Linked DNA regions of Macaca fascicularis. The main gene of each other region encodes a partner of the protein of the gene in region 2 in a complex. Links are inferred from orthologs where the notes say so. Each region holds a gene or a part of one and is shown on either strand. Other genes may lie near its edges.

The links.
Region 1: TBL1XR1 (region 2) and CORO2A share a complex: the UniProt entries of both Homo sapiens proteins name them as parts of the N-Cor repressor complex. The link is inferred for Macaca fascicularis from reciprocal best matches to the Homo sapiens genes TBL1XR1 and CORO2A.
Region 3: TBL1XR1 (region 2) and GPS2 share a complex: the UniProt entries of both Homo sapiens proteins name them as parts of the N-Cor repressor complex. The link is inferred for Macaca fascicularis from reciprocal best matches to the Homo sapiens genes TBL1XR1 and GPS2.

The regions. Positions count from the first base shown.
Region 1 is NC_088389.1:59,988,328-59,991,974, reverse strand, and holds part of CORO2A (coronin-2A), read right to left. Parts: intron 2,987-3,647; coding exon 2,870-2,986; intron 278-2,869; coding exon 128-277; intron 1-127.
Region 2 is NC_088376.1:88,740,433-88,743,911, forward strand, and holds part of TBL1XR1 (F-box-like/WD repeat-containing protein TBL1XR1), read right to left. Parts: intron 3,042-3,479; coding exon 2,940-3,041; intron 2,087-2,939; coding exon 2,060-2,086; 3' UTR 1-2,059. UniProt on the Homo sapiens protein: F-box-like protein involved in the recruitment of the ubiquitin/19S proteasome complex to nuclear receptor-regulated transcription units. Plays an essential role in transcription activation mediated by nuclear receptors.
Region 3 is NC_088390.1:7,369,383-7,373,729, forward strand, and holds GPS2 (G protein pathway suppressor 2), read right to left. Parts: upstream 2,902-4,347; 5' UTR 2,848-2,901; exon of another isoform or gene 2,772-2,847; intron 2,631-2,771; 5' UTR 2,562-2,630; coding exon 2,468-2,561; intron 2,108-2,467; coding exon 1,998-2,107; intron 1,914-1,997; coding exon 1,801-1,913; intron 1,670-1,800; coding exon 1,590-1,669; intron 1,499-1,589; coding exon 1,416-1,498; intron 1,235-1,415; coding exon 1,081-1,234; intron 983-1,080; coding exon 893-982; intron 804-892; coding exon 724-803; intron 637-723; coding exon 541-636; intron 357-540; coding exon 273-356; 3' UTR 177-272; downstream 1-176. Other genes in the region: NEURL4 (neuralized-like protein 4), read right to left, coding at 3,637-3,841. UniProt on the Homo sapiens protein: Key regulator of inflammation, lipid metabolism and mitochondrion homeostasis that acts by inhibiting the activity of the ubiquitin-conjugating enzyme UBE2N/Ubc13, thereby inhibiting 'Lys-63'-linked ubiquitination.

The DNA.
Region 1 (3,647 bases), on a different chromosome or scaffold from region 2:
GCTGGCTCTCCCAAAACCTTGGTTTTCGATCTCTGGTCTCCAGAATTGTGACAGAATAAATTTCTGTGGTATTCCAGTTCGTGGGAATTTGTAGGGGCTGCCCCAGAAGAAGAACACCCAGACTCACCTTGTAGTCATAGCCGGCACTGAAGAGGATGTCGGCGGCCGTGGGGTGCCACTCCACCAGGCCCACTCTGCGTGCGTGGCCCACGAGCTCCTTCCTGCAGGCCGTGAGGTTCCTGGTCAGCAGCTGCTTGGGGATGCTCCAGATCTTAATCTGGCAGGGGAGACGTGGCCCAAGGGAGCATCAGCCAGGGCACCTTGGCACCGTCACCAGCCTAAGCCACAGATCTGGCAGTGACCAGCAGAAGGACCAAGGGAGCTCTCTCCATGGCCACCTCCCACTCAGTGGCTATGGGCACTGAGGGGCAGTGGAGGGGCAGCTGAGGGTCCCCAGAGGGACAGGGGCTTCCCCAAGCTCCTCCAGCCCGAGCAGGGGTCAGTGCTGACCAGGGATGAGTCTAGGCCTCCAAATATGCCCTTGAGAGATCTTTGTCATTCTGCTGGCCTGAGGTGGTGGGCAGGTGGCTGGGTTTCAGGCCTCCTAAGCTAGGATATCCCCCACAGTACAGTATTCTACATGCTTCTTGTCCCAAAGGCCCAGGGTAGAGCCTCAAATGCCAGGATGAAGGGTTTAGGCTGCATCCTCAGGGCACTAGGGAGCCAGCGAGGTCTCTGGAGCAGGGCAGGGACAAACTTCTTGCTTTGCAGGTGCACCCTGGATGGCCTGCAAGAGGAAACTCTGAAGGTCAAGAGGCTGGACTGGATGGGGTCAGAGGCCTGTATTTCATGGTGAGGGCCTGAGGAGAGGCACTGGGACTTCCTTCCAGAGTCATGTTGTCTGAAGATGGAGGGGGCTGCCATGGCGGAGAGTAAGCTCCCTGTCACAGAGGTATACAAATGGAGTACAAGGCGAGCCTGGGATGCTGCTGACTTGACCTTCCTTATTGGTCCTGCAAGGTTCTCTGGCCCGTAGTTGATTTTACGCACTGTTTCCCTTAGAGTTATACAGGTTTTTCAGGTAGACAACTTTGCTTTCAATTCAGCAAATATTTCTTTCCTGGTCATCTTGGATTTAAAACCAGGAAGCCAACCCCACGAGAGTAGTGCCAGGTTCCAGATACTTCGGTGTGGTGAGGGCTCTCACCACATAGAACCCCAGGAGGAAGACACACTGTGAACAGGTGTGTTTGGAAGATGCAGGTACCACCCGCAACACTGAAGCAGAGAAGACTCCCCAGTGCTAGAGGAGCGACCGTGCCCTCCAGGCCCTGAACGCAGGGAGGAACACGAATGAATTCACTCCATAAATTCACTGTGGGCATAGCTTCGGGGAGAAAAGCCCCTTCCTTCTTCAGTCCCCCAACAGTTATGTCCTGCCCTGGGGCATCAGGGAAGGGATAGTGGCAGGCAATGAGGCTAGCAAGAGATTTAAGAAAGATCTTGATGGGAGCCTTCAAAGCAGTTCTGAAAAGGCAGGTATTACAAAAGTGGGGACAGTTTCAGATATCTGACATCCTGCCAGAGGCCCTGTACTCCCTAGGGACAGGGCCAATTCTCACAGGACCTGACTGTCCCTTTGGTAAAATCACCTCGGCAGACCCTGTCCTTTATGTTCCTCAGCATCTGCTATATGGAAACCGACACAAATCCTCTTTGAATTTTCTGCTTTCCTTTCCTGATGAACTGGTCTGCTTCTTTTGATCTAACTGAAGGTTTTGCAATACATTCTATTGCCCATTTTGCCTTGGCTGCCAGGGAGCTCTTAGCTAAGCTAGGAGCTTGGCTGCTGCAACCCTCCTTAGCCATCATTTCTAGTATTTCCTCACTTTCTCCATCTGTGGCTGCTGCTCTTTAAAGATGTGTCATGGCACATTGGAAAGAGAATGGGCTCTGGAATCAGGCCTCAGTCTGAAGTCTGGCTCTGCCTCCCACAGGCTGTGAAACATTAGGCAAGTTGCTGTACCTCTCTGATCCTCAGCTTCTCCATTAGAAAAATGTCCTACCTTGTGGGGTTGCTGGGGAGACTGTGAGACGATGAGTATGGTGACAGTGAGGAATACGGTGGCTCACAATAAATGGTGATAATGACTTTTATCTTTATTTTAATCATCTGATCATATCTGTGATTTTTAATTTTTTAGTAGAGACAGGGTCTCACTATGTTGCCTAGGCTAGTCTCCAACTCCTGGCCTCAAGTGATTCTCCCACCTCAGCCTCCCAAAGTGCTGGGATTACAGGTGTGAGCCACTGAACCTGGCACATCTGTGGTTCTTGTCTTAAGCCATATCCATCATATTTTAAAAGTGGGTACGAAATGAACTATAAATAAGTAACACTGCACATTGTTGGGGTAGGAATGATAACCCTGGTACAGAACACAGGCTCAAAAAAGTGAGTGAGACTGAAGCTGCTGGAGTGGTTTTAGTGTCCACATTCATCCAAGGCCCTCACAGCCTTTTACAGCTCGCTTCTTCACTGTGGGATTAAGTGGAACATCTTTTCTGATCACCATAAAAATGCCCCTTGTAGCCTTTTATAGCCCCCCAAAAGGATGGGCTTTCCCATCGGAATACACATTTTCACTGGGCTTTATTAGCTGGGTGGAGCTATTATGCCCATTTTATAGGCGGGGAACTAAGGCCCATAGTCCTACAGCACCTAGAATGTCTCCTCCTCTACCTAACTTAACACCTCCCCACACAGTGACCTCAACTCCGCGATGGAGTCAGGGGCACCAGAGCCAAGAACAGGTACCGTTCCACCCCACCCACCCCAATCCCACTCTTCAGGAGGGGCTGACACTCACTGTGGCGTCTTCAGAACAGGAGGCGATCTCAAAATCATCAAAAGGGTTCCACTTGACATCCAGAACGTTCCCTCTGTGCCCGCAGACCTTTGGGTAGTGGGGGTCCAACTTCCCTGTCTGCAAGACAGTGCCCAGAAGGGTTGGGGAGGAGGTGGATTCCACATTAGCATCTGGACAGTCATGTAGTCAGTCAGCAACCAGTCAACAGGAACATGTAAGGGACAGAGCTGGGTGTGAATCTAGGCCTTACTTCTTATTCCCTGTGTGATCCGGGGGAGTTACTTCACTTCTCTGAGCTCTGGTGTCCTCCTCAGTAAAAGGGAGCAATCACAGGTATTTCACAGGCTGGTGTGAGGATCATGGGAGGGAGTAGCTAGCACATGGCAGATGTTCAATAAAAGGGCATTTCCCCTCATACACTGCTGGCGGGCATGTAAAATGGTGCAGCTCTTTTGGAAAATAGTCTGGCAGTTCCTCAAAAGGTTAAAAGGAATTCCCACATGACCCAGCAATTTCACTCCTAGGTCTATCCCCACGGAAAATGAAAAGATAAGTCTACAAGAAACTGGCTCACCTAATCCCAGCACTTTGGGAGGCCAAGGTGGGTGGATCACCTGTGGTCAGGAGTTCAAGACCAGCCTGGCCAACATGGTGAAACCCCGTCTCTACTAAAAACACAAAAAGTAGCGGGGCGTGGTGGCGTGCACCTGTAATCCCAGCTACTCAGGAGGCTGAGGCAGAAGAATCACTTGAACCTGGGAGGCGGAGGTTGCAGTGA
Region 2 (3,479 bases):
AATATGTTCTAAATATCTCTAATGTGATCCAAAACCCTAAAAAGAGCTGGCACAAAACCATCGTGAATGACTGCCTCTCTGGATGTAAATTTTTAAAAATATTATTACAGTATCATAGTCCCCACTAACAACAACTGGGGTACATATAACAATGTATTGTGAAATTAAGTGTATTTATTCTCTTTACCAATAGCAAATGCTACCCTACCTTAGTAAAACGAAGACTTGCTTCAATCAATGCTGTTTTGTAAAAATAGCAAAGCAACAAATGCTGAAAATCAAAGCTGCATTACTTGGGTTAAATCAGTTTCTACCTAAACTTAGAACACAGGTTAAAATTTTAGTACTAAAAGGCCTCAAAATAATTAGTGACAGAAATAGTGTTATTAATTTGCTAAGCTCAACAATAAGCAATTCCTTAATTAAAATCTTTGAGATATAAATTTGATGACTATTCTCTTCAGAAATGACATACCTGGATTATGTTAATCATGACAAGCCTTATTAATCACACATATAAACATGGCCTCATGCAATCATTTGTATATGTTACTCTAACTTGCATGAGCACAAGGTTTAATTTAATATCTATATCTTTAAGAAAATACTTGATATTATAAACAGAGTAAAAGACATGATATAGTAGTGATTACTGAAAAAAAAATTAGCAGCTTAAATCGATCTATATTTGAAAAAACGTAGTCACAAGTACCACAAATGCAGAATCAGAGCAGCAGGAAGAAGGTTAGTGCAATTATATTTTCATAAAAAAAATTCTGAATCACTGCTATTTAAAAACACCTTGAAGCAAGTCTTTTGTTTGAGATTGTTTTTTAAACTAAGGTAGCAAACATTTTGCCATGTAATGGCAGTGTTATATGCCGTTATCTTGCTTTGTATAAAGAAAACAACATGAGAGATTTTTAATACTGGAGGTTGGTTACATTTACATATTTAAGCTTCTACACAGAATGATGGACACTTTGAGAAGCTAATCCTTATCCAGAAACATTTTAATCTCTTAAAAAACAAAGCAAAACAAACAAACAACAAAAAACCCAAAACTACTTTGCTCCTTTTCACAATAGTGCACACTTTTACCATAATTTAGTTATGGCTACAAAACATCAGAAGATTTTTTTTTTTTTTAATGTATCTTCTCTATGGTAATTAAAAAAAAAAATTGTGCCCTTCTAGTCTTTAATTGGCAGAAATATGTCCCAAAAAAGAAACTATTGCATTTAAGCCACATCACCAAAAAACAAAACAGAAAAAAAAAAAAAAAAAAAAAGCAAAACAAAAAAACAAAACCAACAGAGCATAATACCCTTTTACTGATGTGTCTTACAGATTGACATGACCAAAGTCATAGGTTTTCATTTAATTTCCAATTCCCCCTTCCACAACATGCACCAACTGAATATATGCTCTGGGAGCCATAAAATGTACCAAACATCTACCTCTTCAAAAGAATGCATTAAAATATTTTAAAGAATTTTTTGTTGTTTAAAAGGTGAAAAAAATATAAACAAGAAACTGATTCACTCCCTTACTTCATGCATCCATAATCTAAACCAAAAACAAAATTTTAAAGCAAGAACAAACTACTGCTGCAAGTTTCTGTAAGTCCATTTTCTCTGTACATACAAACTGCTCACTACTGAAGGGAAAAAAGAATATAATCCATGGTGTCTGCTGATTCAAAGGGGAGAAACAAGGCTGTCATTTAGTATCCAAAAACTGGTACATGTATGTTCTGCTTTTATAATGTATATTTTTCTCTCTTCTGTTTTTCATATCCAAAACTTCTAAATGCTATTTTAGGGGCACAGCAGATTAGATTCCAGCACTTGGTGAACAGAATTCACAAGCTGTGACAAAACTCTGTCATCTTCAGGGTGCAATTTTGTGTATATACACTTATGTATATATTTCTTTTAGATTTGGCTGTAGTGGACTGGCCATGGTTCAAGTGGGACTATAGCAGTACATGGGTCAGGGACAGTCATTTTGGCTATGTACACATTCATAGTCGGTCCATGGCTTCCAACTAGTAGCGCTATTTCCGAAGGTCTAATACACAAACCTGTAAGAAATTAGAATAATCAACCAGTGTATTCAGAATTTTATTGTACATTTTATGTTTAACTTTTCTATAGTACAATTTGAAATGTTTCTTAGTTCCAAGTTTATAAAATTGGTAAAGCATGATAATCATGGAAATGAGCGGTTAACTGACAGAAATTAGATTTAAGCAGGTCAAGAGAACAACCATGAGCTCAAACTATGGGGGAAGAACCATGGCTAGGATTTTTAATACTCTGTTGATTTAAAAGGTAGGAGAAAATGCTCAAAACAACCATTTCCTATCTATTGGACCCTAATGAAAGATATCACGTATTATATTCAGCTACAGCATCAGTAAATAGCTACCCCTTCCCCATCTTCTGTTACTTCTACAGCTTTGGAAGCCATATTTGCATTGTTGTAAAGACTTGGCCAACCTCATTCTGAAAATCTTCCAGTATCACACATTCCTCAACACAGGAACCACCTCTAGTTCTGCCTTCCCTGAGCTAAAAAAAAAAACTCTTCTGTGAAGAGGAGAAGGTAGAAATACACATTAAAAATTTCAATCCTTCTCAGAATGTTACTCTGGTATACCTAATTTCATAAATGAAGGTTCACATTAAAAATAACTGTCCATTTCTAGATTATAAGGTACTCTTTTGGTAAGGACAGCCTAAATTTGGTTTACACTATTTAAATCCAACGCACATGAGAAGTTTACAGCCTCAGGAAAAAAAAAATCAGTATCATATCTTAAAATTTATTTTGAGAAAAAAAAAAAAAAACAACTTTGGTATCACTAACAATAAGCTGCATTCTGATGTGAATACCCACCCACACCCTCTTTGGAAACACTTTACTATACTTACTGAACCATCTGATGCACTGGCTCCAACTTTGTCTCCTGCTGCATTCCAGCAAACTTCAAAAATTCCACCTGTTCCCCTATAGCTGTGAACTAGAGCACCTGTCTAAAAGAATGAAAAACAAAATCTTAAAAATCATAATACATATTATAATAAATCCAAATGCTGAAATAAAAATATTACATGGCCTTATTTCTAGCAATCAAAGGAGGGACTTAGCTTCAACTATACAAAATAAGTTCTGAAATTCTAGAACTGTAATACGATCCCTTTATAAAAAGATGATACCAGCCTGTTCTCAAAAGATTACTCACACACATATTCAGTTTCTCCAGTGTTGATAACCATTCTTGGCTAAGGTATCTGGTCTCTTTGACATAGCCAACAATAGCTAGAAGTAAACATTCAGTCTATCAAATAAGTTTTTGTTGTTGCTAAATGACGCATGAGTCTAGCTAACATGTAAAGAAACAAAATAAATTCAGAATTTCTTTGACAGAACTTCTTAAAGAGGAAGTATAACAAACTAATAAAGATAATTCC
Region 3 (4,347 bases), on a different chromosome or scaffold from region 2:
ATTAAATGGGTATATTTGGAAGCTACAAAAAGACTGAACTCTGCCACTGAGTTCATGGAACCCGCTGTCTATCACTGACTTGCTGTGGACCTGCCAGTCATCCCCCCACCCCCCAAGCAGCCTTGACCTATTCCAGACAGTTGGGTGGGAGGCAACACAAACAGCAGCAGCCAGGGTCAGTGGCAGGTAGATTTTATTGGCCTGGGACACACGGGGGGTATCCTCACCCACAGTGGGGCAGGGGGCATGATGTTGAAGATATAATCTGATCGTCACTTGTGGTAGAATCGCGGGTTCTGGCTGTGTTGGATGAAGGGGAGCCGAGGGCCAGGTTGGCTGGTAGCTGCAAAGCCCGACTGGCGGTGGTGATGAAAAGAGGGCTTTGTCACTGGGCGTACTCTCCCACTTAATGCCCTACTGGTAACCACCCCCAGAGAGGAAGAAAAACCAGGTGATGTGGGCCACCGGTCCTACCTAATCCTGCTTTTCTGGATCCCTAGTGTAAGGATTCTGACAGGTAAACTTTATTATCATTCTTACCTTTCCTGCTGGTTGCATCTGCACAGGGAGCTGTGGGGAAGCAAGGAGTCCAGGGGCTGGATGCAGAGCCTGGGGGTGCATGGGGCGCAGAGAGGACTGCAGAGAACAGAGTCAGGGCCTGAGGCATACTGATGCTCCCCTTAACATATCCCTAACCCTGACCTCCCAAGATGCCATACTCACTGAGTCGGAGAAGCCAGTCTGCTGGTTAGCATGTTCCATCTGCTTTTGCAAGGACAGGGCACCACCAGGCTGGAGGAAACCTACGTGGGGAAGAGGGGCATGTGAGATGAGAATGAAACAGGGAGGGGAGGACCCAGAGAGCTAGAGCTCCTGCATGGGATGTTATCACCTGTCTGAGTGGGCTGAAAGTGGCCGTGCACGGCATAGGGCTGTGGCTGTGGCTGAGATAGGTACTGCACTGCAGGGAATGCTGAAGGAGCTGAGAAAGGAAAAGACAGAGCCATTAAAACCTTTTACTCAACGGCATTCCTCCTTTGACGTTGAGGAAGGCCAAGCCCCATCCCTCCTATTACTCACCTCTGAGCTGCTGACTAGGACTATAAGCTGGCTGTGTGGGCCCATAGTGAGGTGGGGGCTGAGCAGTCCCATAGGCACCACCAGGACTGCCTTGGAATTGTCCATGCTCTGGTGTCCCCGCAAAAGCAGCTGCTGAGCCCACATAGTGCCGGGTCTAAGGAGGGAGAATGAGAATTCGCCTATAAACTTGAAAGCTGAAACCCAGTGACTTGTGTATATCTGTATGCCCCATTTCCCCCTAAACTTAAGTGCTTGATATGTTTGTGACTTGAATACTGGTGGCAAGGATGCATGGATGGAAGCAGTAGGGGCTGGGCATCCAATCCTACTCTCACCGTAAGCACTTGGGGTCCAAACATTTGTTTGGCTCTGTCAGCTGCCATGAGGGTGCCTGGGCGATTGTGTCCTCCAGGGCTCCCTAGAAAGGGAGAAGGGCTTCATGATGCTGAAATGGGAGGCTGCAACCTGTAAGAAGGCCGGTTCCATCAGGTGGTCTCTTTAGTCCTCACCCTGCATGCTGAGGAGATGAGTTCCTGTGTGGACAGTCAGGCTCTGCTGGTATGCAGCTGATGTCAGGGTGGTCAGGTCACTGGAGTGAGAGGAAGGCAGGTCAAAGCTAAGGACAGATGCCTTCTCTTTCGCCATTAAACACTAGTTCTTTTATTACTTGATCCCAGTTCCACTTGGCCCCCATTTCAGTTTTTAGTACTCTGATCCTACCTCTGTTCCTTTCGCCTCCGTTTTTCTTCCTCATGTAAAACTTTCTTGAGCTGCAGGAAAAGCTGATGCTTCTCTTCCTGTAGGGCCAAAAGCTTCTCCTCCAACTTCAGAATCTGGGAGGGAGTGGGAAGAGAAGATGAAGGCAGGGAGAGTCAAGGGAAGAAATCAAAGCTGGGAGAGTTCAAGGGACTGCTTACTTGTTCCTTGGTCTCCTCTAGTGACATTCTCTCTTCCATCTCCTTTTTCTTCCTTCTCTCCTGTTCTTCCTTCATCTTCTGTTCCATCATCTTATCCACCTCTTCTTCCTCTGGAGAATCAGGCAGAATGAAGAAGAGGCAGGGTAGTGAAAACAGTTCCAACGTTAGATTGAAGACCAGCAAAACCCAGTCATCCCAACACGCCTGTGCGCTCTTTGCCTCGAGGGGACAAGCTCCCCCATCGCTGCAATAGGGAACGGAGAGGCTTTATCAGGTGCTCTCCAAGGTCCTTCCCGTCTCAAGGGTTCTGGAGCGTGGACCAGGACGCTTAAATCCCACCACAACGGGGCTATTCCTTCCCTCCTCTGCGCTCGGCAGCGGGCTCACTGGTTGGCCGCTGGGTTGAGGCCAACCCTGAGGTACAGGAGCCATTCTGGGCCGTGTGTCCCCCCGCTATGGCCCCGGCTCACCCTGCCGCTTGCGCTCCCGCTCCATCATAATGTGCCGGTGCAGCGCCCTGGCCATGGCGTTGGAAAGCTTGGGGCGCTCCAGGAGTGCGGGCATGGTGCTGCCGTGGGCGCTCGGGCCGTGGGCGCCCGGCTCTGTCTCTGACTGCCAGACCTCAGACGGCGCCTGCGGGGAGGCGGGCGCTCAGAGGGGACCGCGCCCGGCCCAGGCGGAAGCCCGTCCGCCCGACCCGCTAGCCGCCCCGGTCACGTGTCCCAGGAGCCCGCCACCCGGCCGGGCCCGCAGCCCCCGCTCCACCGCGCGCACGGGCGGCGCCGGGATCCCCGACTCGGTGCTGCCGCTCCCTGCCCAGCCAGCCCGGACGCCAGCCCTCCCTACCCGCCTTCTCTGCGCTTTCTCAGCAGCTCCGGCGCGCCCTGGCCCGTACGTCACATCCGGCGGCCCGGCCAAGTCCTTCCGGAGTCACGGCTGCGGCCGACCTCACGGGTTGGGTGAGAGAAAGCGGAAGCGCGCTGCGACGGGTGCCCGCGGCGTCCAAACCCCGTAGCCGGGAACGCGGGCGACGAGGGCTGTAAACTGGTCTTGGCATCCTCAGCTCTCTTTAATTTCGCGGGCCCACCTGGTGGCACCCCAGGGGACGCGGGCTCCGGGGAGGGGCGCGCGAGAGAGAGGCCGAGGCGGAGGCTCTGAGACGGTGTTTATTGGCTCCTTAGAAATCAGAGTCAGTAACAACTGTACAGAGGCCCCCATCTTCCGTGCGCCCACCCTTCCCCACTCCCGCCTGGTGGCCCCGGAAAAAGCAGCTTCATGTGGGCACAGGGAGAGACTCCTCTGGGATTCACAGTAACCAGAAACAAAAACGGAAATAAATTAAGTGATGTGGGGAAGGGGAGTAAAAGGGAGTCATGTTCCCCAAATCAGTGCATGAAGAGGGGTACCAGGGCCTGGAGCTGGGCTCCCACGGCTCCTCCCATCAGACGGAGTGCTGGGCCTCCAGACATGGAGCTGTGCCACTTGCCACCTACATCTGAGAGCCTGCCTACATGCTCCTGCGCGGCTGCCAAGCTCCAGCACCTGCGCATGCCACGAGTCACGGGAATGAGGTGGAGGCAGTCGCCAGAGTCCATGGGCCCGAGGCCCGACTGTGCTTGTAGTATTTGTGTGTCACCCCTCATTCCACCCGTACCAGCAGGGCATAGAGGAGTGTGGCCCCCTTCTCCTTAGTGACCCACTCAAGTTCGGCTGGACTGAAGTGAGGGTCAGGAGGTTCTCCAAGGGCAGCGGAAGGGGGTCCCGGGGTGTAGGAGCCAGGGCGCACACACACCTGGAACGCCACCTGAGCCTGGTGCGTCCGCTGGGATTTGGGGTCCCGGAATCTGTCAAACAGGAAAAAATAAGGGAGTGAAGCTTCTCTCCCCATCACCTCCCCCTTGCAAAGTCTGTTCCAACCACACAAGCCTTGCTGTACCTAGGAAATACTCCCGCCTTATAGGAGCTTCACTCTAGCTGTTCTTTCTACCTGAAATGTTCTTCCTCCCAAAGCCTGCTCAGCTACACCCTTCACTTCCTTCTTCAAGCCTTTGCTCGAATCTCTCCCACCTTCTTACGATGCCCACACCAGCCACACTGCTGTCTCCTTCGCCCCCCTCTTTCCTACGATGCCCACACCAACCACACTGCTGTCTCCTTCGCCCCACTCTTTCTTACGATGCCCACACCAGCCACACTTCTGTCTCCTTCGCCCCACTCTTTCCTACGATGCCCACACCAGCCACACTGCTGTCTCCTTCGCCCCACTCTTTCTTACGATGCCCACACCAGCCACACTGCTGTCTCCTTCGCCCCACTCTTTCTTTGTTTCCATAGTCCTTACTTATTACCT